3 linked regions of the Lepisosteus oculatus genome follow. The protein of the gene in region 2 interacts with the protein of the main gene of each other region in a pairwise test. Links are inferred from orthologs where the notes say so. Each region holds a gene or a part of one and is shown on either strand. Other genes may lie near its edges.

Region 1 (10,721 bases), on a different chromosome or scaffold from region 2:
TACAACCCCCAGGCAGTTATCACCCCAGGTCTGGAAGTGAACACTGGGCCCCAGTACCACAAAGCAGCAATGCTGACCACTGGACCACTATGCTGCCCCTTCTTCCAGTAGCTATCAAAATTATTTTAAGTTACAAACAATATCCCCCCACCCTCCCAAAAAGGAAATATATACCATTTTATTTGTTCGAATTTAGTGTGAAACTTTCACCCTGCATTTTAGAAAGTTGTTGTGTAACATTATCAGGCCACTTCTTCATGCTGTGGCTGCTGACGTTATTGGGCATCCCACAGCAGGAAAGTTCAGCCATTTCTTTTTTAGCTGAACGTGATGACAGACAGACCAAGGACCAGATGGGCAGGAAACCAAATAAAGATTAAGCAGGTATAATTGCATAAACAACTGAAAGTTACAGTGTAGTGACTGACATCTTCAAAATGTGGGACTATCTCAGGTTTCAGAGGTGTCATATGAAGAGCATCTTCTACTGAATGAGGAAAAAATCTAATGCACTATTGGAAATGTGCTGCTAATGGGGGAAAAATATATCTCTTTTTTCATTGTCACTGAAACTCCACTATATTGTGTAAATGATATATTAAATGGGGTTGTTACTTAAGGTATGCAGATCAGGGAGGTTAAGTTGTTGATTACGGAAATTTAATAAATGTGATTAGGCATAACAACTGATGAGTGCAGTTCTTCATTAGCTCTCTTTTAATCAGGATTATAAATACCAGTAAGACAGGCTGCCTCTGTCACTAGAGAACCAATCTCAAGACAACAAGGTTGTTAAACAGGATTAAAGACTGACAATGAGAAGTCAGGAGAGGGGAACAACCTACCCAGCTGTGTGATTGAAGCTGATATTTTGGCTTCTTTCAAGAAAAGACTGGATGAGACCCTTGGATCAATTAACTGAGTACCAAACAGGCTAGATGGGCACAAATGGCCACCTCTGTGTTGTTACAGTTCTGTGTTCTTAAGTGTGGCCTTGCCTAGTCTGAGCTACTGCAGGAGATGTACAGTATAACGTGTCTACAGTTTTGTTGTGCCCTGTTTCTGATTGAGAGTTCTGCCCTCTGCCCTTGATAATACATATCAATTTATTTTATTTGCAATGAAATTGATTGGTAAGGTCCCAGCAATATTAATAAAGTCTAGATTTACTACTTTTAAACCATTTGTGAAATACAGTATGGCCCTATGAAGCTGATGTTTTGACCTGGTTTTTGATCCCACATTGCATTTAAGGAACAAGCCATGAAAAGCCCAGAACTCATCTCTTCTGTTTCAGCTCTCGCTAACAGTGAGCGATGCTGTACACGCACTTATAAAAGTAAACACAGCAGAATTCTGAAGTCCAGTTAGCAACATAACAGGACCAACGGATGGTATATTTTCAAAACCAGAATAACCACCTTGCTTTTAGGAGAGACTGGCCTGTGTGAAACAGACGTCGATGCTAAGAAACAAGCTCGGAAGCGATCCTAATCAATCTGTTAGAATTTATTGTTCCTTACAGTGCTGGGGCCACAATAAATCCCCTCAGAAAACTCAAGTTTCTTGGAAAAATCAAAGTAATGACTGTAGCAGATGCCAGGCATGGTGAATATTATCCCATATGTCAGAGGCAAAGGATTAAATCTTCCTACTATAATCTGAAGCACTGAAAAAATTGACTTTACAATTGCATTTCTAATTATACTTTTTAATATTTGAAGGTGATATTCACTTTAGAACTTTCCTTAAGCATCTGTAAAAAGTTTACTCAAAAGCTTAAACATTCAGCAGCTATTTAAAAGGCGAGGTATAAAGGTACTCTCAGGGAGCAGTGAGTGTGTGTTCTCCGTTGGCGTACAGTATATTGTTGTATCATATATTTTTTGGAGGGGAGATACTTTCCGTAAGACTCTTGTACCTTTCTTCAATCCAAACAAATCTAAAGCACATTCAAGTTTTCATAATTCCTGGAAACTGTAACTCAGGCTTAGGTCTGATGGTTATAATGGCTGCCCTTTTACCATTTTTGCTATGTTTTCAATCACACTGTGCAGATGTATTGGCCATTTAATTCTGTATTTCATTTCCCATTAAATATGATTTTAGGGCTTACTTTACCCTAGTAACCAGTAGCACTGAAATTTCTTTTTCTGAAACCATCGTGGAATATTGAGCCTTATAACACTTACAGTCCTTATTTATAAGAGTGCAAAAACTATTGTCTGCATATTGACATACACTGTAGGTATGTAATGATTACTTTGAATCATATTTTTATTACTTTATTACTGGTGATGTTTGATAGTCATCAGGAGAAACAGGCATACAATTTTCAGTTTCACCTGCATCTGTTGGTATGCTTTTCTTTTCTGTAATGATCATATTGTCACTGCAAAATAAGCACCTACTGTACATGCTTCTTTTTAAGCTGACCTGCAAAACTAATTTAGATTAATGAAGTTAAGTAAGCTTTCACACTTGATATCCATAAATTCAGGCAAGTATCATACAGTCTGGAAAGGTGATCCATTATTGTTCACTGAGCAGCGACTCCTGGGCAGCTCTGTGGAAAAGCCTGCATTGTTCTTGGCCAGACAGGAAGGAAGAGACCCTGTGATCGTGGTTGTGCTGAGCTGAGGGAAATAGGCTGTTGAGTGGTAACGGTCTCGAGCAAAACTCAAGATGATTTACCACTTGGACTACAATGCTAATTTACTCTTTTTTTTCTTCTCATCTTACCGTCTTACAAGTATTCTTTGTAGTTGTTTGTAGACCTCAAAACAGCAAGTTGTAACAGCGGCAGGTTTATTGGATCAGAGGGAATAGATACTACTGTATATGCTTTCCATGACATCATAGGAGGATGACTAATGGGACTTGAAACACATGACATAATGTAAATATAGAGGAATTTAGTTCCATACTTGGTTTTGAATGTAAGAACCCTAAATCTTTTAAAGTTGAAGCTAATTAAAAACACAATGTTCATAACATATTATAATTAATAAGAAAATGAAAGAGAAAGTTCAACTGAAATTCCTTTTAGGCCATGGGTTTGGCAATTTAAGTAGAGTAGAGTAGTAGAGTTTTTCCTACATCTCCTTTAACAGAACCTAATTACGTTTGGGAAGCTGCTGCTAAGACTTAAAAAATTATTTAAAAACCTGAATTACAGTATCATTAGTGCAATCTGCTGGAAATATCTTACTCAAAGGTGTTCTGAAAATCAAGAAACATAGTAAGCCCAGTAACAGAACCTAATAAAGAGCTGGACATACTTTCACTGTTCAATTCTTTTGTGATAATGTTTTTTCTGATGCTCTTGCATCCATCCATTTCTAACCACTTCTCCACACACAGACACAAACACATACATTCACAACAGGGCATATTTTTCCCACAAGCCAGTTGACATACCAGTATGTTTTTGGACTCTGGGAAGAAACCGGGGAGCCAGGTGGAAACACATTGAAAACATAAACCTTCCATGCATATAGCACCCCAGGAATGGAACCCAGGGGCCCAGTTCTGTGAGGACACAATTCTAAGCACTGTGCCACTGTGCTGCCTGTTGCTTTTTCAGATAAAACAAAAAAAGCATTAAAGACATTCCTAGGTATCAATTACAGCTGTCACTGGCAGGATTAAAGGAGAAAAAAGCACATTTTTAAAACATGAAATGTATTATCTCTGTTGCAGGGGCTGGGACCGAATACTCGCCAAAGTTGAAAGATCTGTAGCTTTGGTTTCCCATTAATCATATAATTAAAATATTAATTTAATTATATGCCGCCTTCACACTGCCTTTAATTGAGTTTTTCCAGACACATACATATTATTATAAAATAATCTTATTTTCAATCTTCATGGGCTGTCTTAAACTCCAAGGGCATTTATTACACACATTTGTAATGGATCAGAACCTTTGGGAGGCCATTAGTTTATTGTGTATACTGGAGAACAAGAAAAAGTTGCGAAGGTGGAGTCATAAGACTTGTACTACTTTGGCATGGTGAGTCAGGCTGTGCAGCAAACATCAGTGAACATCAGTGAATGGTTTGCTTTCCAAGGAGCCCACACATTTGTTGTGAAATTATTGGTTTCTGAACTCAGCCTAGCCAAATGTGCAGTGCATATATATACCCTACGCATGCTGTTGCTTCTAGTTTTTAAAAATCAAAATGATGCTAGCTGACCTTTACTGTTGTTGTCTCTGTTGTCGCTTATTACTGACAGCCTGCAGACAATCTTAAGGGGGGAAAATGATTCTCATGTCCCACTAAATTGCCAGTCTCCGACAGTGTGGGAACCTATTTAAGTTTATTTAAATAGTGCACTGTGGAGACACTTCAGTACGGGGATGTGCATTTAAAACTGAAAATGGAAAGCACTTTTTTATAGTGCTGTGGATGCCTGAAACTCCGGCTGTGTTGTCGAAGCCAATATCCTGTTTAATACCCTGGGTTCTTTCACAAAATGGATGGATGACATCCTCTGGTCAATTAGCCACTGAATCCTAGATAAGATGGATGGGACGAATGGCCTCCACTTGTAAATGTCCTGGAGGTGAACAGCTTTTATTGTTGAACATTGAAAACATTTTTTCACAATGAAAATTATTATAAATTGTCACCACTTACTACTTACTAGTTACTAGAGTTATTATACATACTCTAGGTACGTTGACATGAGGTACATGTATGGTTAGTATGTATTGTGTATTGTCATTATAACCTTTGAACAATATACATAAAGAGCTAAATAGACTGTAAACATTTTTCACAGTGCTATCTATATATGATTATATAACAGTTGAACAGAAACCAAATGTGTGTAATTTTAGATACCCCGCCGACCCAGCACTATCGAAACCAGAAACCATAGCATCATATGCTATACGTATAAATACGTTATGCTGTTTTTCCATCCTGCAAATCAATTACACAGCCCTAATAACTGTATCGCATTCAGCAGTCCTAAAAGCTTGAGGTTTCGACTCAAGCTTTTAGTGAATAATGACTTAATCGTTTCCCACAGTTACTGTAAAATTAAAATAAACTAAAATAAAGAACCCAAGCATTTAGCATTTTGCTGTTTCTTAGAATGCTGAATGCGTCTCTCTCTATTTATTCTATTATAAATACTTCAATGTATTATTGTTGCTGGTGATGGCGGTGGTTTGAATTGTAATTTGTGAAAGAGAATGGCAGCTGTGGAACCTTGTGAAGACAAACACCACTTACCTGGTCGATGTGCGCCCCCTGGCGTGCGATACTTGTTTCAGCAGCAAAAGCCTTGTAAAAAATTATAAACAAACATGGCGGTCGACCGGTGGGAGTGAAAGAAACGTCTGTGCATCTTAACGGCGAGGATTTTTAACTGCAATTTCCCAGTATGATTTCATATTTCTTGTATATGACACACCTATATGGGTATATGAACACAACAGGATTGGCTGTAAAAATGATTTTTACACTTGAAAACTTCAAGGAGCTTCGTAAAGGGCAGTTAGATTCTTACTGAGTGCCTGCGTGTTGACATCAGGTTCTGTAGGTAGAAGTACTTTACTTTGTTGTATTAACAATATTGAAAATATTAGCTCTGCGTTTTGGGCATGTGATTTAGCAAGAACTCACTGACATTTCGGTTTGAAGTTAGAAACTACTATTTTCAGTTGTAGCACTCTTTAACTCTGAAATGAGACGCCCGCTGTCATTCTTCAGTAGGACAGATTTTATTAATTTAAACGTACATACTGTACAGTATGCAGCACGCTAGTGTGAATTTAAGATCTGCATGTAGGGGATTTACCTACCGTGTTGTAACTACAGTTTTCGATATAAAATACAAAGCAAGAATTATGATGTTACTACAACAAAATGCATGAAAAATTATATTTATGTTCATCTAACGAAAAAAAAATCAAAATGTATTTATGCACAACAACCTCAAATTGCTGTACAACAGTATATAAAACAGAAACCAAAAGAAACCCAAACATGCACCCCATGTTTTTCAAAGGGGTTAAACGCTTCTCCACAACTGTATTTGGGTCCAGATCAAGGGTGGATTAATTTTTAAACACTGAAATTGCTAGTTTACTGCATGTTTAAACTAAATTATTCCATATTTGAAAGTGTTGATTTTGTTAATTCTGAGATTTTGGGTATATATAAAATAGGAATAAATATCATACTTACTGCTGCTGATTACAGATTTTGTGATATGCTTCCATAGATTGGCCTGATGATGGACACACAGGGAATCATTTGTCATACCCGTCAAATTGAAAAACGTCTCCATGAACAGAACCATCAAGATATTATGCTCTTATTAGAGGAATTAGAAATGGCTCACATTACATTAGAACAACTTCAGCAAACAGATATTGCAAAAGTTGTTTATCGGGTCTGTAAAACCTGCCAAGGGACTTTGGTGAAGAAAAAAGCGAAGGTTTTACTGTCAAAATGGAAGAAGCTGTTTACCAATCCTTGGTGCAAAGCATCCTATCACCTTGCAGGAAAAGGCCCTGATGAGAAAAACAGTACTCGAGGGCCACACACAGAGAAAAACCCATCCTGTTGCCAGTCAGAAATAAATGAGACTCACTGTTCACAGTGCGGTCAGTTGGAAGGAAACGAGAGCTTTATCAGTGAGAAAGACAAAGCTAAAGAGACTAATGAGGCAACACAACATAATTTATTCCACTGTGTGGCCAGCAGAGGGGAGGTACTGAAAGAAGATGAGTTTGGTTCAGCAATAAGCAAAAATGAAAACAAAAGTGATCTTTCTAGATTGGAAAACAACGGAAACACCCCAGCAGTTAGATCCCAGCCTGGCACAGTGGAGAACGCTGGACATGATACTTCAGGGGTGACTCTGGAAAAGGTACAGCCTAGCAAGATACCTCTTAGGTCCAAATGTATACAGCTGCTCTTTCAAGCCCTTATTCCTGAGGGAGCTGAGCACACAGAGTCCGCAGGGAACTGTCAGGAAGTTGCCTGTGCGATTGAGGAGCACGTTTTTATCCTCCATGGGAAAAACGAAAGAAAGTACAAGTCTTTCATTAGAAGTAAAGTTTCTAACTTAAGGAACCCTAAGACCCCTCACTGGCGTCAAAACCTGCTGGGTGGACAGCTGAGCCCTAAGGTGTTTTCTGAGATGTCCGTGATGGAACTGGCAAGTGATGAGCTAAAGCAGATGAGGTCAGCGTACATAGAATCTGCCATTAATGAACACCAGCTTCCCCAAGGCGTGGGCGGGACCCAGACAGATAAAATAAAGTGCCGGCGATGTGAGAGGTTTGACTGCACTGTGACACTCATTTCCAGGGGTACCCTCTTCCTTCCTAGTTGGGTACGCAACGGAACCCCAGATGAGCAGATGATGACTTTTGTCATCTGTAACAAATGTGGTGAGAAATGGTATAACAGTGGATGGATTTGTTTATAGTAACTGGTGCAACCGGTTCGAACAGTACATGTTAATCATGGGTTGAAGGTTTGCATTTCTGGTACAGCTCGGCTCTCTCCGTGGCACTATAAGACAGTTGTGATGATGAGGATCTTTAAGTCATTGTGAAAATGTTGTTCTTTTTTTTCCCCCAAAGTGCCTCACATTTGTACTGGTTTGTGCAGTTACATTTTTGTGTGTGGATTTTTTGTGATAAGCTACTGTGTGTCTCGTTTTTATGTTATTTTTTGTGTTTGGTATTTTTGACTCTGTATTTTGGCCAGAGATTGAATGAAATTTTCAGAATTTGTTGAAGTGAACTGGAAGAACACTTATTAAATTAAAATAGCTATGCAGTGATTGAAGATAATATCTCAGCAGTTTCTGTTCATTTTTATTATAGATGAATAAAAAAGGCCATCCTTTGTCACTCTCATTTGCAGAACACAGTATGTGTCAGCAAGTACAGCTATAAGATATGCCATGGACTGTATTTTAATCATATTTTAGGAAACTTGTCTTTTCAAGATAAGCACATTACATAAAACAGAACCTCGAAGAAGCTGAAAGTGCCTAAACAGTTGATAATTTAACAGACTAAATCTTGATCCAGAGCTGCATTACTATAAATATAGATAATAGAAAAAGTGTGCAGAGTAATCAATTTAACTGCACTTAGATCATATGGTCTTTACTCATACATGTGACTTTGTTCAAAAATGCTCTGCATGTGACTTTTTTCATGTCGTAGAAACTTCAGGAACCCTACTGCATGGTACAACTCCTTAGCCTGTCAGAGTTATAATTTAAGTAATGGCTGAATGCTATTCATTTGTATTTCAAAGCAGATTAATACTATATTCTTGTCAAGCTTTATCAACGTGAGATATATGATTTAAAATCATCTATGCCCAGTAATACCTAATAAGTCATTTTATGTGTGTATGCTTTGGTTTTAAATTTCTAACTGTATTCCTTCTATTAATGTCACACCTGAAGAAAGCTACTCCGTCAAAATGTTGTATCTGTTCCTTTCAGTATGGAACAAACCTTTACCTGTTCTATTAAATTCATTGTGCCAATTTCAGTAGACATCTAATTACAGTATATACTGTATAATGCATTTTTGAAACAATTTGTGTTTAAAGTACACCCTGTTAATTCATTCCAGGGTTTCTTTTTTAGATTGTGAGAACTTTTCATCAGGAAATTTCCATAACCCATCATAATTGGTCATAAAAAGTGGTGCTACATGAGTTTTCCAATGTTTATAGATTATCTTTCTGTTTTGAAATCATAACAATGCTACTTAGAAATTTGGGGTATGCTCCAAAACTAATTAGTTGGCCTGACAATATTACATTTTAACTCTCTTCTTGCTTTGGAATAAATAATAAAATACTTTGAGAATTCACTAAGGTTACACAATTACAAAGTGTGAGCTAGAAAAATCTCTTTTAAAACCACTAATGGCAACTTTTTTGTACTTTAGCATAATATTGAGTTTTGTTTTTGCACTTTAGCATAATATTTTGTTGTGTGCACTTGTTAAACTATAAATTAATCCCTTAACTGTTCTCGAAAAAGAAAGGTCTCTGACGTTTCTATAGCATTCTACGACCTGGATTTTTCATTCTCAGGTTTTGTTTTTACCTTTTCTTTGCATTTTCTTGCTCAGTGATATTTTCAAAAATATATAGTTCTTTAATGAGCTATGTTTGCAGTTCAGTCTTCAGTTAGGTCACTTTTGTGGAATTATATTTAATATTCAATTATAGGTAACAATGTTAAGTTATGTCTTCAACTCAAAGTAGTGGTTTATTCATGTCTAAGGACTCCACTTACCCCTCACAGATGTGAGGTAATGTCCATAATAATAAACCAAATTAGAGGTTATGAACCAAATGTATTGTCTCTAATTTTATGTGCTGAGAGAGGGAAAACCTGCTGTTCTGCAACTTAGTTTCCACCTGACAAAGGCAAATGCAATAAGAGATTTTGAAAAACCTGTATAATGTAGACATCTCTCAGAGTTACAGAGTTTTCCTACTGTACGAGACTGGACTGGAAAATTCCCACACTGGTAGTTGTGTAAACAGCAGACAATGTGCACAGATGAGACAATCCATAACAGAAACCTAGTCACCTGTATCAAGTTAAAGGCAGATGGAGAAGTTAGAGGTTTGTGTTCAGTTGTAGGCTTAAAGATAAAAAATGACATCTAGACTTGAGTTTTAACCAGAAAAACTCACAAATGGACATTTTCTGATGTTGTATAATGCAAAATTAGAAATTAATACAATTCTGTAAGATTTATGCTTGCATGCAGACATAGTGCTAGACTGGACCCTAGCTGATAGACAGTTCTTAGCATGTTCGTATTTGTGGCAAAATGTACAGTATATACAGTATATTATTGTGAAATGGTGATAAAGAACCATCTTCAGAGATGTGGGTTTTCTGGGAGATTCAGGTGTTATCTTTGTTTAAACTTTGATACATGACCAGCATAACAAAAGCTTATTTTTATATCAACAACAAAAACACTTAACAAATACCGTATATTTTGATAAGATGATTATGTATCTTGTTCTATTTTTTTATCTATATTTTGAGGTATGGGTACCTCTTTGGAACACCATTGGAAATAAACACGGTATAGACAAGTCACTTCTTGGTAATTAATTAACATAATACCTTGAACTGAAAGACTTAATGTACATGTTAATTGTTTTTCAATATCCTGGATGTAACTTGCACCAAGTACGTCTTACCTGACAGTGCTGGCAAGAAATTTAGCACAGTGCACAAGATATGTTGGAGAGTTTATAGAATATATGTATTATTAATATCATGTCCTATAAGCCCATCTACTCCCAAAGCCACAAAAAATGAAACCCCTTCAGAAGAATTTCATATTAATAGAGAAAGAGACCAAATTTAATGCTTAACATTTTTGATTACATGCATTTTGATATTATAAAAAAAACCTACCAGAAATGCAAAACCACTAGAATAGGTAAAAATATAAAAACAACAGTATAGTGTCTGACTGCCCTTACAAATGAAACAAGGTTATGTTTTATCAACGGTGAACTACTGTATGCCTAGTTGTGTTATGGGAAAATTAAGTAAATTAGAATTAGCCCCTAGACACATTTATTACTGCTGAGGTGCTGCATATCTCTTGCAATACCTCAGTTTATCACTGTGACAGTTTACTGTTTACTGTGATACAGTAGGCCTTTTGAAATCTTCGTAGCACT
Region 2 (10,314 bases):
CAACGAACGGCAGGATACAGGAAAGGTGAGCACGCACCGACGTGTGAAGATAAAAGATAGTAACAGAAAAACACCTCTCCCGATGCTCTGTTTGTTCATCTTCAATTGTCTAGTTCACTTCACTCTCCTTCTCACCTTTTAAGGCTCCCTGTAATCCTTCACTCCTGCCCCTGACACTGCCTGTATGGGGGGGAGACAGAAACGTGGTATGAGCTGTTGAGTTTCCTAAGAAACAGATACTTGGAGCCCAAACAGCCAGTTGTTGAACAAAGCAAACAATAACCCCGCGTTCACATGGGCAGAGCTTCAGCCTTTCCCCTAGAGAGCATTCCCACAGAGGTGTAGCATGTCAGCCACCCCCAGCCCTCTGCTGAGATACCGGACACAGTGCCCGCCTTAGCCATCCGAATAAAGAGCCTCCTTCTTCACGGCTTCCAATTTCGCCTGCTAAATTAGTGCAAAAAAAAAAAATACCCAGAATTCAGAATTGTAAACAAAAATATGTAAAAAAAAATAAATTTTTGAATTTCTTATGGTGTATAGCCATATCTTTTTAAATGTGCTCTGATGTCTGATATGAAGAAAAATTAGAAATAAGAGGCAGCCACTGGCCTGTCCTTTAGCTTCTCACTGCTGGGGCACAGTGCAAACCTTCCTAAAGGTGAAAGGACTTCACTGGGTAGTTCACTTCACACTCAAGATGGGGTTTGCCTAATGGATTATTTCACCGTAATTTATGACACATTCTGTCTTGTGCGTTTCTTACTCTGTAGTGGTGATGCTCTGCTGCCGGGTCCGGAAATATTCCTAATTGAAATTCTTCCTCACTGCTCTTCTACCAAGGGGTTAAGAGATAACGTCTGGTTAATTTCACTTTTGGTGACCTTTCTAAAATTTTAAATGACAAAACAGGAGCATCGGTTAGAGAACAAACATATCAGGGTTGAGTAAAAGCTAAAAAAACTATTTATATTAGCTGGGACATACCAATAAAAAGTGATTGTTGGCTTTACCTTTAATGTTGATTAAAAAAAAAACTTTGTGAGAAATGGCTACAGTGTAAATATTAGCCATACATGACATCCCCTTCATGAGATGGGTCATGGTTTCATTTGAAAACTTGCAAGTAGGCCCATCTTCTACTGTAAATATTTCCCTTCAATTCTTGCAATGTAAAATGTAAGGCTGAAAAGCTGGGATTTTCCCATTTCTGACCAGATTTAATTACATAACCTAACATTTCTGTACATGTCTGATAGATTGTACACTACGCCCTTGTTTCATTTTATGCCTGAAATCTGAGTCTGAGGCCCATCACAGAGTTAAATGCAAAGTGTCAGGCAAATTTCAAGGGAAGGGAATTGCCAAGGGAAGGGGATGTGCCCTATTTGAAAAAGTATATTTACTGCTTTGATGTTTAGATGTCAATACCACAAGGTCTGAGCCAATAAGAATATGTTGAAAAGTACAGAAATTATAGACACTTAGGAGTTATACTAGACAATGTTTACAGAAAGGCTAAATGATTGATACATAATTATCAATTATAGTCCCCATAAAGTACTCCAATAAAATGGTTAAAAATGCATTTTAAAAGACAGAAATGAATGATTGTGATAAACCTGCTCTGCTTTTTATTAGTCCAAATCCAAACTGGCAAAAAAATCAATTTTGATAGAAAATCAATAATTGCATTACGAGTATACATTACATTTCCAGACAAACACACCTTAATCTTAAACTTGCTACTGAAAGTCTCTCTCTTGCATATCAAAGCAGAAAAAAGGACATAAGTATCAACCTTGCAAAAATAAAATCAAACATTCTGAGCACTTCATCATCATCATGTAAAAGTTGTGCACACAATTCTCTGACATGATCAATTTACAAGGAAGCAAATGTCCTCTTTTTTGGCTTTGAGGGTCACTCACTTAATTGCAGCAAGTGCAATGAATCCAAGTTAGTTCAGGAGTTTAGTTTTCCTCGGAGTCACTGGTGATAGAAGCCGCCCCTTCTCATTAAACACTCCTTTTGTTGCAGCACTTTCAATAGATGCGTTAGTGCAGCTCCCCTCAAAGGACTGGCTTCCCATCCAGAGGGAGAACAAGCAAATGCGCTCCCAGCCCTGCCTGGTGCCTCTGGCTTGCTCTGACTCCTACCAGGATAAGCAGCTTTATGATACTGGATGGATGTTAGGATTCGCTAGTCTTACACCTCCATTTTACTAAACGTACTGATTGTTCAAATCAATTCTCACTATATTAGGTGCAACAATGGAGGCCCAGCGCTCATGTGACCCTCAGCTGACGTGATATCGTGTCTGGAGTGAAATGGATTCCTTTTCGAATAAGATAACCTCAATCAACCAGCACTTAAGCTACCATGACCTTGAATGCACTTAGAATCTCCCTACAAGTTAATGGTATTAGCTTAATGACATTTCAGCAGTGTAGAACAAAATCCACAATTTCACCTTCCACTGTTAGTAGAGAGGTGTCTTTGTAGTTTATATCAAGCAGTCTAAAAAACAAAGACCAAAATGTATTCTGACTGCAAAGGCGTTCAGTTCAAAACCCCTCCTTCACTGACTGAATTTCTTCTCTTTTTTAGAAACCTTTTTGCATAAGGGACATTTTACAACTGCCTGACATTTGTAACATATGCTCAATCTGTCTACACCAATATCAAGAAAACAAATATTACACACAAATACTGTTATGGAAGGCTGTCACTCTGGAAAAAAAAGATAAATTAGCACCATCACCTAAAGTACCTCAAGGCACATGGTACATAAGTCAGCATTTAAGTAACCGCCATGTCAAAGATTATTCTTACAACTCCGCTGTAGGTGACGATACCCTGAATATAACACACTACTTTATGGTAGAGTCATCCGAAAAACAACAAGCCATTACAAAACACTGTCAACACAGAGGGTGGCATGGCATGGTGGCACAAGGGTTAGCGTTGATGCCTCGCAGTGCTGGGGCCCTTGTTTCCATGCCGGACCTGGGCTGCTGTCTGTGTGGAGTTTGCATGTTCTCCCCATGTTCACATAGGTTTTCTCCTACAATCCCAGGACATATTGGTAGGTTAACTGGCTTCAGGGAAAACTGGCCTTGGTGTGTGTACGACTGTGTGTGCTGGTGCCCCTTTCAGTGTGTACCCCGCCTCGTGCCCCTTGTGCCAGGCTCCTCCTGTGAATGGGATGCATTGGCGTGGTTAGAAAATCGATGGACAGATGTCAACACAGAAATTTATGAGGGAAGGCCAACAGGTAAAGTAGATGTGCGCACTATCCACTAGATGTAGTTCAGGGAAAGACTGGTTTTATTTAGCTCCACCCAGCTCTCTTACACATCCGCACACTTCTGCCACTGCGTCAGAGGGCCTAGGGTGCCCTAAAGGGGCTGATGGGTCCCTGAACCACTGTGACTCAGACCTTCTCCACCGGGTAAAACAGATAGAGACGTGAGAGAGGGACTGGAGGGTGCATCACAGTCCACCACCAGCAAGGGACAGGGCTCGTGGTGTATCCCCACCCACCCTGCCATCCGGATCACACTCCCCTGGACTGGTGCGATACATGGAGCAAGTTTATCCAAGACTCAGAACTGCACAAGCTCATACCTGTGCATTTAGAACCTCCTTTTGGAACTGAATGTACGAAATTATTTAACCCAAATACAAACACAACAAATGTTTTTCTTTTTAATAAAGATAGCAGTCACACAGTGAAATCTGCCAAGCTCTGCGAGGCAGTTTGCAGATGTGCAATCTTTACTACTGCACAAATGCCTTTACCTTTTCCTTTTCATAAGCAGCATTTTCAGTGTTCAGATCAGTGTTTTCCCCCTATCTTCTAATCACAGTTTATGTTTCCACTATCTGCATGTACTGTAACCCCTTACACTGTAAGTTACAGACTGGCACTGCTGCAGTTTGTAAGCCTTGATTCTCCAGCATGCTTCATCAGACACACAACCCTTTTCCCTTGCTCTGTGCTGGTAATCGTAAATTTCTTACAAGCTGTAAGAAATTACAACTGGTAAATTCTACAACTAAGCTTCTGTGTTGTATCGTTTCGAAAGCGCAATGTTAAACTGAGATGCTATACTTACCGAACACTGTTCAGCTTCATGACGTCCACATAGAGAACGTCTATGCCATTTCAGACTACTACTTTAACAACTTCCCCCATGTTAATATCGTATTAGTAACAATGCAAGGTATCTTTACCGGATCAAACAGAAACCCTTGTTATACTGAAGCTCATGGATGCTGAGCTCAAAAGGGAAAATAATAAATATTTATTATCGTTTATTATCTTATCCTCTTACTTCGTGGTTTGTACACCTACAGTACCTAAAGTTATTGATTGTTTTGATAACCGGACAATCTTATGCAATGCTTGTACATCACCACTACACTGCTACTACTGTACGTACGAACTGTTGTTTTAAAGTTTAGTTTTTAAAATATTTACAGTTCTTTACAATTTACAGAAAGCCAGTGCAGGAGAGAAGTTGGCAGAATTCACAATGCACAGCACTATATGCATATGAAAAACATAAATCAACTTACCATTTAATATAGACTTAATTGTTACGTTTCTTATAGTATTTGAAAAGCTTTCTGCACAATGACAGTTAAACCAGTCATTTCAGTATTCAGTATTTTTGCATCAGAATGTCGTATAAAAATATTTTTTGTAATTACATGGAAGGCAAATACGAATAATTAAAACGCACCGCGTATCTTACCCTCGATTCCTCTACTTCAATGTATTTTATTTACCTGCTGTTTTCAGGTGACAAGAACCAACTGTCGCAAACTGTGGCGATATATTGACATTCACTCGGCAAAAAAAACGGCGAGGGGTGATTCGGCAGTGTGGCAGGAGCGGTTTTAAGGATTTTTCTCTTTAATTTCTAAACCCGAGCTTTCAATACGGGTGGTTCTGTATTTTATATAGAAAATGAAAAAGACTAATGATACGTTATGGACCAGATTCCTGCGTCCTATTAAAAATACATTTACATCCGCCATGAGATGGAGTGTAACGGCGACCATAATCGGTGTGGCAAGAAGTGACGGTAAAGCACAAAAAAGGTTTTTTATTTACTGATAAGATGCTTTTTTATCCACGTCTGAACATTAATCTCTTGTGTTCACGTTATTTGAGCTTATAATTATAAGGTTAATAATAGCAAGGCTATTCATTTTGCGAAATGAAGGTGGGAGCACTCGTATCTCCGCCCCATGACCGCGGCCTATCGGAGGGCGGATCCTGGTTACGCGGGAGACTTGAGTCTACGGAGGTGGCCGCCGCCGGGAGGAAATAAGAAGAGGATTTGTAGGGAAAAAAAATAATCTTTATTGTGGTATAGAGGGGTTCTGTCTACCTAGAACATAAAAACATAAGAAAGGGCGTCATTTGGCCCGTCTAGCCCGCTTGGTTGCAAGTTTCTAATGTAAGTAATAATGCGGTGCTGTATATCGTGGATAAGGTTGACTATTTTGTTTTGTTTTTTATGCCACAGTTAATAAAACGGAAGGCTGTTGGATCGTTATTATCGACGGTTCTCATTCCCACAACTACCTAGATCGGACATATAAGCACATCATTTAAAAACGGGTCTAGCTTTCAGGTAATAGACACAACATAAAGGTAATCGGACGGCCGTTTAACTGGCAGTTCTGCTTATGTGCTCTGTTTTAATATAGTAAGTCTATATAAGGTCTTTTTCGGAGATGCTAAAATAATCTTTAAGTTTCGGTACGATATGTAGCTACATATGGAACAGTTTGTGCTGTTATGTCCACTGACGTGTCAGTTTGAAGGCTAACGAGAAACGGCATGATTTTTTAAAAATGAATTTGTAATAAATCTCCCAATGAGATTACCTGTAATCTGTAATTTATTCGGATGATCATTTTTTTAATTGCTGCTTTGTTGTATGTAATCTGCATTTTGAAGTAGAGAAATGTTACTCATCATATTTTGGGAAACATATCCATAGTACTGGGCTGTTTAAATCTTATTTGCCTGAAGGATCCCTTTTCAAGAGATCAACAATACCCTCGATTTCATCCTAAGCGTAATTAGGTTGCTAGATTTAACCCTACTCTCATAAAATTCTCCCCGAGGTTAGTGAGCACCAGCGTGAGGATAGTGTTGTCCAATTACCTGTCCATCGCAATCATGGCCTTTCATTGCTATCGTAAGACCCAGGGGCCAGCAAGCCTGCCCACGCGATGCCTCAATAGAACTATTCTGTTTCTGAACTCCTGCAGGTGGGCTGGTATCTCAGTATGCGCAGGTCAGGGGCTCCAAGTCAGCTGTGTGGCAATGTGGCCAAGAAGCCCAGGTTTGTGCCCCCGGCATCGATGCACATGAGAGCTGCTTCTGTGCCCGACCCGAAACGCCCCAGCCCTCCGCTGTGCAATGCGCTGAACAAGGTAGGTAAGGCGTTCGCTCAGTAGCCCCAGGCTGCTTACAACTTCCATTTTAAACCCCCCTGTACTGTGCAGATGTTGTGAAATGGAATTTGATATTTAGGTTTATGGGCCGTAAATTACTACGCTCTAGATATGTGATTCATAAATCAGACTGACTAACTGACTGACTGAGAAGGTTCAGATTCCTTGAGACTGGGGCTTCTGCAGGATGAAGTGGAGGTAAAAAAAAAGAAAAGCTGACTACGTCATTCCCCAGTTGAGCATGCATTTCATACAGTATGATGAAGAGAAACTGAACTCGCAACATCCAAAGAACCCAAAGTAGCTGCAGCTAAAAGTATCTTAAATAATTAGACTTAGGGTTTTGTGTGGATCGCAGACTTTGTTCTGTTATTGTCCCAAAGGGATCAGCAACCAAACACTGGCTTTTACGCTATCAAGTTTGCTGAAAGTGAAGGTGTCCCAATACCCTAACCCTAACCCAGATTTTATTCTAAAATGATCATATGTATGCATGGGCTTGCCTAAAAATAAAATATACAGCGTCTTATACCAGCTCTTACTTTCCAATAATGTCCCATTTGAGTGAATTACAAATGAAGTATACACATGTTTTTAAAGTGAATATTTTGATCAGAACCTGAACGTTCTGACGTTTTATGTATAGGTTTTACAGGGAGACTGTTTCATCACTAAATAAAAGCTGAAAAAGAACCGGTGCCTTTGCTGACGTGAGCAGTGTCCTGATTTGTTTCTTCCAGATAATGAATGTCCTAGTATGCTGGCAGTGATGTCTCGGTATTTTCAAATGTAACATGTGAGAAGCCTTTTTGCATTTTGCAGTCAAACACACATTTAATCAAACCTCCCTGTCAGGGGAAATGTCCAGCAGTCCAGTGTTTCGTGCACGGTGTGTGCAATAGAACTTTCCATACATTTAAACAGCCAAGGTCTTGTAGAGTGTTTTCTTTGCTGTGGTATCATCTGCATTGTATTGATCCCTGATCTTGTCTTAACTGCTTCTTGCAGGTGACAGCTCCCCAGGAAAATAAATCGGAGGCCCCTGTCTTATCCAAAGCCTTGGCAAGAATCCTTAATGCTGTTCCCCTGGGTGACACCGAGGAGAACAGCTCAAAGCTGCAGGGACTCTCCGATAGTCTTACTGTGAGAGAAGAAGAGTCAGACCACAGGACTCCAGATGGTGAGTTGAGCATCATATCTACTAAAACTCCTCTTGGCTGTGTCTTCATAGGCTTGAGCTTTTTGACAACGTGATGTTTTGAACCTCACACTTGAGATCGAAAATCTGCTATTGTAAAAAAAAGTGGTAGTTGCCTGCTGTACAGGAATTGCAAGTGTCTTTAGTAAAACTTAAACCTTCATCAATTAAAAGTGAAAGCTGAACTTGGTGCATTGCCCTTGAGGAGATGGCTTTGTCAGTATAGAACAATGCAGCATTATGATTTTGGTCCAGTGTGATGCTACATATACAGTATAGAAGGATGGTTTCGTTTTTTCCTGCCTGGTCCAGGAAGGTGATAGATAAGTGACAAACTGTGGTTGAAAGGTGACAAATTCGAGAAAAACAAAATAGACACTTTTAGCTTTTTAGAATCTTGCATACACCTTAGAAGCATTCCTTCTTTCAGGAAGGCACTGGAGATTCTGAGCATTGTTTCAATGGTTTTGACCTTTTTTATCTGATCTTTATCTGTTCTCTGTTAATGTCATGTCTGTCCAGTTATGGTGGTAACGTTCTGTACACCATAGTCTGAATAGCGGTGTGCAGAATTAAACCTTTAAATCTGGTAGTTCATGAACAAGGTGAAAACGGATTTTAGGATATGATTTTGGGCCAGGAACAACTAATTGCTGCAAAGGTAGGAAGTGATTGGTGAATGGAGTAGGATGTAATTTTAGGTTCTTAGATATGAGGCTGCGGAGGCCCTAGTGAATTATTCTGATGTGATCTACAGTATGTTTCTACTGTAATGCTTGCTGACCATTAAGGATATAAAATGAGAGATTTCAGAAGCCCTTTATAACATACGTGTACTATGCCTTGCAACCTAATGAGAAAATGCAAATGTGGCTGTGTTTTCATATTGCATTTCTTAAAAGAATTACATTTGTGACTGTTTTTGCTAAATGCTTTTAAGGGATGATGTCATTGGTAGGTAGTTCCATTTCACTGGTAAAGGTGTGAATTTAAATTTAAGCCTTATAGATGAAGCAGCATACAGTACTTTCATGGGACAGCCTGAACTGCTATCATTAAGCAGAAGATACACTTTGAAAAATGCTTCTAATGTGTTCTTTGCATTTCTTCCGGGGGGGGTCGTTAGATGATCTGTGTTTCTGGGAGAAAGGTAGGCTACGCAAAACAAGCAGGCAGACAGAATAGTGTTATTTGCTCAATATTAAATGTTTTACCACTGTTTGTGAAGTGAGCAGAAGCTTCAGTAAGCTGGTGTACTGGAGGAGCTGCATGTGCTTTGTACAGCAGAGGCCTGGGCAGTGCTGTACTGACACTGCCTTGGCTATTCTGCTTTGATTGGGGTGTACTGAAGAGTTGTCGTGCTCATGCAGAAAATGTCTTTCATGCCAATTCACAATGTTACTCTTTGCTCTTTTTGTTTTATATTCTTGTAATTTATCCTGGAGTCTCCCTTTTGTCCTTGTTTCGGATGTTCCTGTAGAGAGAGAAAACATATACAGTAAGAGCATTTTTTGTGTACCGTGAAATGTCAAAGACCTGCTGAACAGATGTAAAGAATGGTTTTATGACTGAACTAGAAGGAATAATATTCACTATTGTAATTTAAGTGTCGATAGGTCTTTTGATGCTACTTTAATAAGTTCCTTTCTTAATTGTTGGAATACACTAGCAGATGTTTTTTCCATTCTGAGGTGTAGAAATGTGTTTTAGAAAGATTAGGACTGCATCGATTATTTCGTGTAACTTAAAACCAGATGTAATACGTATTAGGTTAAGTAAAGTAAATGGGGAATCTTACTCTGAAGAGTTTTTTTGTTTTAATTTCACATCAAAATTCACAAAGAGGGTAAAAAAAGATTTCTGTAAATAGAACAGACTAGTACTGGGCTGTTCCTAGGTTACATGTCCAAGGCCTGCAGAAGAGGCCAATTTAGTCTGGCAGCAGGAGCTCTTTGTAAATCTTGTGTGTCAGCATTGTGCAATACCAGAGCAGCCTGACATGCTTCTGAAACTCTGACTTAAATTCAACCTAATCTGCGAGCAAGAAGAAATAAGATTGCCTCTAGGGGGCTGGTTTGAAAGTCGGAAAAATATACACACTCACTCATTCTCTCTCTCTCTCTCACACACACATACGGACACACACACTGAGCTTAAGCTGGAAACAAGAGAATGTAAGCAGGAAAGGCTTGTGGTTAGGGTATTGTCAGATCGGAACCGCAGCATATACATCAATGAGCACGTCTCGGGCACAGATTCTATCAGCATCCCTGTCCCCGGAGGCCTGGAGCCTCGAACGAGAGCAGGTCAAGTCTGTGCGTGAGTGAGGCTGGAGAAGGCCGAGCCGGTATGTAGAGTCCTGACTCTCCTCATCAGAGGCTGCTGGTGCTTCCTGCCTGCCTCCCAGCCTGTGCTAGCACAGCAGTCAAAGACATCTGCAGCACCTGCAAGGAGCAGGAGCGCTCCGAAACACGGCTCGGTTCAACTGGGGGGATGGAGGAGGCGGGAACTGGAAACGACTTGCCATACTGAAAGAAACTGGAGTGTGGTTGGCGCACGGCCCACCAAGCAATAAAAACGGGTGTGGGGTATTTTTGGGGGGGGGGGGGGGGCGATCAAATCGGAGTTTCGAG
Region 3 (10,834 bases), on a different chromosome or scaffold from region 2:
TTTTGTGACATTCTATGCTCAAATGTCACTGGTTGAAATACTAAGATATAAGCAAAATTTATAGAAATTCTCCCTAAACTTGTGAACTAATAAATTAAAATTTTCATCATGAATGGGAATATAAATATAGGATAAGTTGTGTTTTTGAGATTTGGTCTGGCACCATTTAAGAAAAAGATTGTATAATGATTTTCCATAAGCAATATTGCAAATTCCACAACCATAAAACTCTGAAAATACTACTCTTGTATCACACTTAGTTTATCCATTAGGAATTCAACCATTAACATGACTGAAGTCCAAATTTTATGGATTTTCAAATCCCTAACTGGGTGTTTTTTCTAACCTTAGACTCTGTGTCATGATCGTAAACCCCTCCTCTTAAGGATGCTCCAGCCCTTCCTTGTTTATTCTTTATCTCCTGCACCTGACTCCGGTTTCTGCCCCCGTCCTATAAAAGCCAGACGTTCCTACCAATCTAGGCTCAGCTTTGGAAGATGGATGTCTGGAAGCAAGCCTACCCGCGAGTCCAGGAGCGACTCGATGGCATAGGCTTCACAATGGCATCCTGACCATCTGGGTCCGGGACTGGTAGCACCTGGCCCCGTAACCCCATTTTATTTCCCCCAACCCCTTGCCGGATCCCACTCTGGCTTTTAACTTCATTTGTCTGTGTCAGGATGGATCACCCGGCTTTGGACATTGGCTTTCCCAGGATACTCTAACGGACTCCCTTGGACTTGTTCACCATGGACACCCCCCCCCGAGCACCAGTGCACCTTGGACATGCCCCCTGTTATTCTTCCAGCCCCTATCCTGGTCTTTTTTCCCCATGTTTTCTCACTCCCTTCTGGATTGTGCTGTCTGCCTGAAAGACGCTTCGTGATACTATGCTAATTTGTCCTTCACTGAAATATTGTATATGGAGGAAATGGTCTCCTCTCATTTGAATCGTTGTTTATGCTCTTATGGATCTGGACTTGATTTCAACTTGATTTTCTGTCCCTTCATTGGAAGAAACTTTCTGTGCCCAGTTTTCCCAGAAAGAGTTAACCTATGTTAAAAAGAATGCCTGTTCGGCCATCTTTGTAGCACCAGCATCTGCATTGTTAGACTACATTTGATGATTTATTCTTTTATTTTCCCAGGTAAGTCAACTGAACATGAATTTAATTTCTAACAACAAATTATATCCTTCTTTGATTTTATTATACTTGCACTTGATTATTTTCTTACCTTAGAGTCACAGTTGAAATGCCTTTCTAAGCCTAAAGAGTCCCTCCAGCAATGCAGAGCACATGTACCACTAGGGCTGAGAGTGCTGACATTCGGAAGATCATGACAGCTAACGCCGGCAGCACGGGGTTCTGGGATTGGTGGCTCTTCCAGAGTACAAAGAGGACAAAAATCCTCCAGAAAACCTGGAGCAGGCTGGGAAGTTTGGGTGTCCCCTTACATCATGTTTTCTCTGACGTACTGTAGATAGTCACATTAATTAAATCCATCCATTTTCTAGCAGCTTCTTCCAATTCGGGGTAGTTGGGGAGTCAGAGCCTATCCTGGCAAATAAAATAATATACTCCAAAATACAAAGACAGATACACAGCACACACAATTTTCCAGAAGACAATTAACCTACCAGCATGTTTTAGGACTGTGGGAGGAAGCCAGAGTCAGTTATTTAATAATTTAATGCTTTGAGTATTTAGTGACAAATCATTTCTGAATTCTGATCATTTGTGTTTGTTATAGATGATTATTCTGTTCTTAAAATATAGATGATTGTTTCCTGCTCCAGCTTCCTCCTGCCTTCCAGACACATGATGGGTAGCATCATTAATCTCTCTAAATTGCCCCAGTGCGCTTGTGCTTGTGGCTGTGTGTGAGATGAAGTGATCTCCCATCCAGAGTGCTGTCACATCTTCTGCCCTGTGTATATGAGGCACAAACCTTGCCCAGAATCAATACCTTTCACATTGTTTAAATGGTTTGATGTCCCCCCCCCACCATAAGCAATGAAGGGCTATCAGTTGTTGAATTAATTCTTTTCTATAAATACTTTGCTGTCTCTTTTAATACATTAAAGCTATTCCTAACAGTTTGAATAACAAGTCTCAGAATCCTAACAATAGTCATTTTGACATCAATATTAAAGTTTTATTTAAAACATTAAAGTTTCCTGTTGGGTTAAAGCATCCATTTACCAGTATGAACACAAATATGACCTCACCAATACTTATCCTGCGATAGGCAAATGGGTTTGAAGGACGATCTTTTGATTGAACAGGGTAAGTGTTGTTTGCAATGCTTTCAACTTGCTTTGAAGCCATCAGAACCATAGCCTGTTGTGAAAAAAAAAACACTGTGGCTTCATGACTTGGTAAATGCATGCTGATTGAGCAGTAAAACAACATAATTTGTTGGCAAAACCATGTGGATGCTGCACAGTGGTGGTGGTGGAGGGGAGTCCCCATTACCTGTAAAGCGCTTTGAGTGGAGTGTCTAGAAAAGCACTATAAAAGTGTAAGCTATTATTATTATTAATGGTGTAGAAACATCCGGGGCTCCCAAAAGCATTGAATTCTCCTTTGGTAAAGTGGAATTTACTATTGTTGGAAGGTGCTCAGGGATTGGAGTATGTCCAAAACTGAATGGAGATTAAGTCTTGGCTGAGAGTGAGATGTGCATACCAATGTGGTCACCAAGTGACATTGGCCATTTGACTTGAGAGGGAGACTCAATTTATTTGTCAAATCCTGTAATAAACTAATTGTGGGGAAATCAGGTGACCAGTGTGCTGGGATAGCAGCCCAGAACTAGAGCTTCTGCTAAGTGCTTTTCCTTTGTTTTTGTCATCCTTGTGCTGTTTTTCCATTAGAACACATCAACAAAAATGATTATTTGACTGTTGTTTCCCCAGCTGAGAAAAAAGACTGTGATTCTCCTGGAAAAGGAGACAAGTGGTAGCCACACTGCTGGAGCAGTCAACAGAACAGTACTTACAGCTTGTAAAAACTGAGATGGTGGCAATGAGCTGAATCAATTCTAATGTAGGTTCAACACACAAAACAAGAAAAGCACTTGGGCCCGACTTTATTCCAACAGCTACACTGAAATCTTGTGCCAGTCAACTTCCTCCTGTTTTTACAGATCTACCTTACAATCTCTCTCGTAAGCAGGCAAAGGTACCGCACAGTTTTAAGATGACTAGTATATTACCGGTACTTAAGAAATCCATTGTGAACTCCATCAATGACTGCAGACCAGTAGTCTTGACATCTGTCATTATGAAGGTGTTTGAGCAGCTCATAGTTTCCTGTCCAGTGCACACTTGGACCCATGTCAGTTTGCCTAAACAGCAAACAAGTCAGTGGATTGTGCAGTCTCTCGGGGCTCCATGATGTATTTCAACACCTAGCAGCACCCAGCACATATACCTGGATCCTATTTATTGATTATAGTTCTGCTTTTAACACAATCACCCTTCTTAAGCTTTTTGATAAGCTAGAAGAGATACTGTAGGTATTAACCAGACTCTGAGTTATTGGCTACTGGTGTAGGAAGCTGTTGGTGAAGCTGAAGGATACTATCTCTCAGCAAATCAACCGGAGCACAGGAGTTCCTCAAGGTTGTATCTTATCATCTCTCAGCATCTCTCATCTCTCATCTATCATCACAGCAATGAACACTTTTCACATATTCCTGTCTTTAGATCATCACACAGGGTGTTATTGTCAGATCCCATACAGATAAACTCCATAGTTCACCCTTTATATTCTAAATTATACAGGTTGACATTTTCAAGTGTATGAGGTTTGGGAAACTGACTTCTTCTGAAACATTGGCTGTATTGGGAATATCTATATCCCTGTATCTTCCTGGGAGACATGAGAAATAGGAGACATGAGAAAGTTTCCTGGGTTTGTTAGCCTTCCTCTGTAAAGTTATTTAATTTTTACCCTGATTCTGGCCTTCTTCAGCTTGAAATTATACAGTACAGCTTGAAATGATACAGCAAAGGTATACTAACTTTGAGAACAGTTAATTTCAGAAGCATATTAATATGGCTATTTTTTCCATATTTATGAAAAATCAGCCACAGTTTGTGTGGGTTATGTGATGCCAAGCTACAGTATATATTAAAGTGATATTGTGCTGGAGAGCATATGGCCAAATTAATACAACATCAGGGGTGCGCAGTTTGTTGTTTTTCTACTTTTTGGAACAAGTAACTCAGACTGTCCATCACTATTAAATCTACTCTGACAGTTCTTTTGTTAAAATTTGATATAGCTATGTGATAAATAATTATACACAGTATGAAGATAACAACTCCCAGTCTCGGCCTCAGTTACAATTTTACATTATTTTTGGTGCTCTATCAAGGTCTAAAATTAATAGGTGCTTTTATTTCTTTTTTAGTTCTATGATTCCTCTCTCACACCCTTCAGTGCATTGAGAAATGTCTCAACATGGTAGAGCTGGGTAGGCAGAGGGCTAAGCTCTGCCAAACATTCTGTTTTTTAACACCTTTGATTTACAAACACGGGTGCAGTCTTGTCACTAGACAAGACAAGACAAGATATACAGTATCTAGTTGTCCCCTTGCAGATAATGTTGTCATCCCACTTAAACTTAAATGTTTATTCTAGCATTCAACTTATATATTATAGACTAAAATTGGCCCCAGTCTTACACAACTAAATATGATTGGTATTTGCTCAAAAATGTGGTCGCAAAATTCCAGAAAACACAGGATTCCTACTATTTTCTATAACCACAAACTTTTCTTTCTCTTTTTCACTCTGGGTTGAAAAGATGTTTATTATTCTAGCAGACATTTTTAATGAGAATTCCTTCCAGATCCTGCAATCTCAATAAAAGCTACACGCTTACTCTTTCTTTTTTCTTGCATCTTCATTCTGCTATGCATGGCTCTAGTACCCCCTGCACAGTGAAGCTGTCTACACACCTAACCTATAATCTACTGGTACAAAAGAAAGGAATTGGTTTACTCTGCTTTTTCTGTAGATTTTTCATTCCAACTCTTACTAATATGGAACAAGAACTTTAATTCTTTAGATCAGGAAATTAATTGGGACATTATAAATATAGCTTTCAACATTCATCCATCCATTTTCTAACTATTTTATCTAATACAGAGTTGTGGGGTTTTGGGGGGTGCCTAACTCAAGCAACAGGCAGAAGGATTGATACAACCTGGATGGGGCCCCAGTCCATCACAGGGCACATACAGATACAGAGACTCACACACTCACACCAGGGCCAATTTTCCCAGAAGCCATCAGTATGTCTTTAGGCTGTGAGAGGGAACTAGAGCTGGAAGAAAGCTACGGAAACATGGAGAGAACATACAAACTCTACACCTACGGCATCCCAGGAATGGAACTCAGGTCCCTAGAGCTGTGAGACAGCAATGCTTAAGCACTGTGCCAGCATGAAGCCCCAGCTTTAAAAATCCTAATAATGAAATTATCGTCTTCAGGCATTGTATTTGACCCATTGTTCACCACATCTTCCCCATATGGTCCTTTGTTTATTGTCTGTCCAGAGGACATTGTAAGCACTATTTGGAAATAGTTCAGGTGGGTAGCTGCGTCAGCATGCGTAGGCTGCAAAGGAACAAGTAATAGGTTTATTCCATGCTGAAAAAAAGAAGAAAGAGAACACAACATTTCGGTCGTGGAGCCTTCTTCAGGTGTGAGAGAGACAGGGCAGTAGGCAAAGGTTACGACCACTCTAATCTCTCCGTCTGTGTTCTCAAATACAGTTTTCCGAACTCATACATCAGAAAGACCACCGAAACTAAAATTATTCTGCAGCTAGGATCACACATTCTCCCTTCTCTTAACAACAGACTACTGTTCTTTTAAATGTTCTCCATTCATTGGAAGTTTCATTTCACACCTCTCTGCACCCATTCTCACTTCACACCTCTTGATTGGCCTCTCTTTCTGTTCCCTGCTCCCGCCTCTCACTCCTCCTCCCTCCCAACCTTTGTTCTCCCGCTACTTTACCTTTGCCTACTGTTCTGTCTCTCTCACACCTGAAAAAGGCTCCACGGCCGAAACGTTGTGTTCTCTTTCTTCTTTTTTTCAGCATGGAATAAACCTATTACTTGTTCCACTATTTGGAAATGTCGAGATGTTTTGAAAAACAGTTATTGTTTTCCACATTTCTAAACAAACATACAGTATGCTTTGCTTTATAGTACTCTAGATAGTTTACAGTACTCCTTAAGTTATAGTACAATAACTTTGATCTTGTCTCTCAGAAATAAAACTTATTTGGTTGGCGGGTCACTCACCACGGTTTAAAAAAAGGACACAATGTCTTCCCTCTCCTCTTCTGGAGTCAACTTTAGTAGTTTTCTACTACTTATATCAAAGGTGATAGGGAAGACAGTACAGGCTTGGAGTGCTTTAGCTGTCGTGATTTAATTATTATTGCACAGGGCTTCTACCATGGCTGCATAACTATGAAATTGTTTATAATTACGCATTTGTTAAAAGCTGAAAACTTACATGTGCTCTATTTTATTTGTAAAGTCTTATCATACGACATTTGGAAATGTTTATTTTATAACTCAAATATACTGTATATTGTCCACTCATCTTAAAACTATGCTGCAGTATTCTGGTTATTAACCCGTACAAGGATGACAAAATACAGTAAACACCAGGGGGAGCTCACCACCCACGCTGAAACTCGAGGCTCGTTTCCTAGCAACCAGCCTGTGTACAGTAGTCGCGGGAGAGTACACGGAGACCAACACACACACACAAATTCTGTGCGAACTTCATGCAGTAAGCAGAAGTGCAAAAAATTAATAGAAACTGAGATGTACAAACTGGAACTGCCAGCGGATCGTACTCAAGCCGCTCACCTCGAGAGGAGACGAAACGCAGATGTTCAACGGCAAGATAGGATTTTCAACGCTAAAGTCAGAACGATTGGAGTAAGGGGCTCTATATGTTCTATACTAGATGTCTTGAATTTTTAACAGTTTATTTTCGCAATACGTGAATGATTGATATCCTGTAGATCAAAAATTATTCAGCACACAAAATAATGTAACGATTAGATTGAGTTTGATTTCTTATAAATGTTTTTTCTGTTTCCTTCTTAAGCTTGAATATGTATGAACAAATTTACATCTGTATTTTTAAATTACATATACTGTACATAACCCAGCGATTCCCAACATCAACCGCTTCTACCCACAAAAGGTGTAACTTTATAGTTATTTTCACACTTGTTTTCAGTGCTGTATCATTAGTGTTGCAACAACGGAAATCTACTTATTTAATGTTTTATACTTGAATATCGTTATCTAATAAACGAGATTTGTATCGTGTTATTATCACGATTTTTTATTTTCTAATTGTTCACCGTATTGTGCATTGACAACGTATTATACAGTATAATGATACATTAACTCTCCTCAGGAACATGTCTGTATCTGCTTCATCTGCTCATTTCAATGGCACTTCTAACCGCTTGTCTTTCTTATATGTTTTTACTTTGTAACCTGTGGTCCTACTGTTTCTACACCTACTGTTTCTACTTGAGATTTTACTTTCAAAGGTGCTACTGTACATAAAATAACGTTTTTTTGTAATTATTGTTATAGAGGAACATGATCAGATTTTCCCTGGTTCAGAAAAAAAAGATCTGAAGTATACTGGTTTATCACTGTTCTCACACCCTCTTTGGTAAATGGCTTTGCATACTAATCTGATCAAATCTACCTACAGATCCAGCAATTCAAAATGCATGGAGTACGCCGCGTTAAAACGCGGTAGGCGTGGCACATCGTACCGCATTTTAAATGAATTATGATAATAGTATCTAGACATTTATCAGAAATGTTTCATATTGCAGAAATGACCTTGGACTAGCACAACAATCCATCTGGATCGTCTTATATTGGTGGAGAGCATTTCGATAAAATCAGATCATTCTACTTTATTCAACGTAGAATAACTGATATTTTCTTTAATACTTAACACAATTTAGTGCCAGTCTGCCTGTGCAATGCCTTTTCTCAGTTCCTTCATTTTGAAATATCTAGGTGGATAAAGAAGCATTAGATTTCCAAGTGAAGGAAAAGAACATAAAAGAAGACAAAGAAGCTAGGATACTGAAGGCCTACGGTGAGTACAGGTTTCTGACATGACAATGTAAAAATATTAAGTCTGCAGCTGGTGTGGTGGCGCAGTGGTTAGCGTTGCTTCCTCACAGAACTGGGCCCTCTGTTCAATTCTTGGGGTGCTGCTGTCTGTGTGGAGTTTGTATGTTCTCCCCATGTACTCATGAGCTTTTGCTCTGGACATATTGGTAGGTTGATTGGCTGCTGGGGAAAATGGCCCTGGTGTGAGTGTGTGCTTGTGTGTGTCATTATGTGCCCTGCAATGGACTGGAGTCCAGTCCTGGGTGTAGCCTGTTGCTTTTCAGGTGTGGCTTCTGCTCCCCCACAGCCCTGTGTTAGGGAATATTAATGAGGACCCTATGCAGAAAAACCAGGACGAACTCCAGAGGCGTAGTTGATTTAACAGTCTGAGGTCCGAAAGCAGAAGGTAAACAAGCCGGTGCAAAAGTAAAAAATCAGAAGCGGAGCTGTAAGCCGCGAGGAAGCCGAGAGTCGAAGCCAGAACAATACTCAAAGTAGCAAAACAAAACCAAGAGACGTAGACTAACCGGGGTCAGGAAGCCAAAAACTAAGAAGTAATTAATTGGGAGAATTGAAGTAGCTCTAGCCAGGAAAAACCTGACTACTGAGCACAGGGGAGAGTATGAAGCAGCATTAAATTGGTTGGGGTAAATGGGCTAATTGGGAACCGTGCGGGAATGCGAGGTGGAATGACGAATCCTCCGGGGGCGTGGCGTAACACCCTGCATTCGAAAAAGTGGTAAACTAAGAGAACAAGAGTGCAGAAATGTGCAAAAAAAAAAAGGAATTTATAAAAAGAGGAAGTAAGAAGTCTGTAATGTTATTTTTTTATTTTTATGTGAAGGATCCCATGCCTTGTTAGGAGTTTACAATGAAGTGTTTAAGAATTGTTGGATTGTTTGGCACATTTCAGGCCAGCCAAGGTCTCTTAAATGCAGATGCACTGTAATTCATGTATCCTACACTCAAGTTTAGAAGGGAAGAGGGGTCTTGGTTTATTGCCACGACTGACCTGAGCTAACTGCCTGACTCTCTGACCATGTTTACATCTTATAAGGCAACAAACTGTTACTGACCAATCATAAAAATGTATTAGATTTTGCTCATCTTCAACAACAAAAGCCTGTTGTTCTGTTTGAAAAAGCGAGTTAGGGACGAGGTTATAACCTGTTAAATTTGCCTGTCCTCCTTTCTTTATTGCAATAAAGAAATCATGATTTGATTCAGTAGAACTGTGTGTGGTTTTCATTGTGGGTTCTAACATACAGTATGCAAGATCTTTAATACAGATCTTCAATGCTCCAGCATGCAGGGAACTTACATTTGTAAAAGCAGATATCTTGAAAAGAAAAAATGGGTGAACCTACACTCAGAGTTATTAATGCCTTTATGTTTATTCCTTAAGCCGAAGACCTCATCTGCGCTGACAAGGTGGCCTGTTTGCTGGAGCAAAGGCAGAAAACGGATGTGAGAAAGCTGTGCAGGGCCACTGATGAGTTCCGGCACAGCTATCAGAAGCCGGAGGACAGGCGGGAGTTCAATCTGAATGACCCCGAGCAGCTGAAGAAGGAAGCTGCAGGAGACGGCTCGGGCCAGAGGCTGCAGGGGCTGCTGGGAGAGGACCTGACCCAGAAGGAGAGGCGCCGCAGCCAGCAGGAGCAGTTGAGAGAGTGGTCACTGCAGCAGCAGAGGGAGTTCAAGGAGGCCAGAGAAGACCAAAGAGCAGCAGGTATATTCTGGGAAACTACTAAAAAAATGTTACAAAAGAGGCCATTCTACCCATTGGTGGTGGTGGAGGGGAGTCCCCATTACCTGTAAAGTGCTTTGAGGGGTGTGACCAAAAAAGCGTTATATAAGTGTAAGGAATTATTATTATTATTATTATTATTATTATTACTATTACTATTATTATTATTATTATTATTAACCCATCTAGATTGCTTGATTGCTAGTAGCTATTTGGTCCATGTCATGTCTTGAAATAAACCTGGGTTTTGGCTTCAACAATGTGCCTGGGTAACTTGTTATATAATTAGCCTTTTACCACACTATTAAAATGGAATATCAGTATTGTCGCCTCCTACTTTAAGCATCTATTGCTATGGGACATTTTTCTGTGAACAAGAGGTGCCTTCTGCCCTTCAACCACCTGCTACCATTACTGTTGTCGTTGTGACTAAGGTCTTTTTCTAGTTTTCTCTGCTAAAGAAACCTCCGCCCAACCTCGGCAATTGAAATGAAGCAGTAAAATCACAATATTCAACACACAAATATGTAATCTAAAACTCCTTTTGGCTCTGTCCTATTGGAAATAGAAGACCATAACATTTACAGTTAATCTTTATTTACCACAGAGACTCATTTTTACCCTCTCCTTGAAATGAATTTGAGTGGTATAAATCGGGTTTCTTTCAGTTTTCTCTGGGAGAGTACTCAGTCTGCTCTCTTAATTGTTCTCAAACCAAGAAGTAATCACTTTAACACATGAAAACCTTTTTTTTAACCCACTTTCACCCCCCAACTTCGGAGGACTTCTTTATTCTTTACTTTTTATTTTTCACTCTCATTTGTGTTCTTATAAGACAATAACAAACAAAATTCCATTACAATTACAATTACAAAAAAAACTTCCTATTGATA

What was found.
Region 1: the proteins of rad54b (region 2) and transcription elongation factor A N-terminal and central domain-containing protein interact in a two-hybrid assay, tested with the Homo sapiens proteins (2 studies listed by BioGRID). The two-hybrid records come from large-scale screens. The link is inferred for Lepisosteus oculatus from reciprocal best matches to the Homo sapiens genes RAD54B and TCEANC.
Region 3: the proteins of rad54b (region 2) and ribc2 interact in a two-hybrid assay, tested with the Homo sapiens proteins (2 studies listed by BioGRID and IntAct). The two-hybrid records come from large-scale screens. The link is inferred for Lepisosteus oculatus from reciprocal best matches to the Homo sapiens genes RAD54B and RIBC2.

The regions. Positions count from the first base shown.
Region 1 is NC_090708.1:21,957,653-21,968,373, forward strand, and holds transcription elongation factor A N-terminal and central domain-containing protein, read left to right. Parts: upstream 1-6,249; coding exon 6,250-7,455; 3' UTR 7,456-10,045; downstream 10,046-10,721.
Region 2 is NC_090705.1:7,542,620-7,552,933, reverse strand, and holds the start of rad54b (DNA repair and recombination protein RAD54B), read left to right. Parts: upstream 1-5,013; 5' UTR 5,014-5,096; intron 5,097-5,118; exon of another isoform or gene 5,119-5,474; intron 5,475-6,297; 5' UTR 6,298-6,315; coding exon 6,316-6,462; intron 6,463-7,491; coding exon 7,492-7,663; intron 7,664-10,289; exon of another isoform or gene 10,290-10,314. UniProt on the Homo sapiens protein: Involved in DNA repair and mitotic recombination. May play an active role in recombination processes in concert with other members of the RAD52 epistasis group.
Region 3 is NC_090702.1:9,009,390-9,020,223, reverse strand, and holds the start of ribc2 (RIB43A-like with coiled-coils protein 2), read left to right. Parts: upstream 1-6,760; 5' UTR 6,761-6,862; coding exon 6,863-6,979; intron 6,980-8,095; coding exon 8,096-8,177; intron 8,178-9,599; coding exon 9,600-9,923; intron 9,924-10,834. UniProt on the Homo sapiens protein: Microtubule inner protein (MIP) part of the dynein-decorated doublet microtubules (DMTs) in cilia axoneme, which is required for motile cilia beating.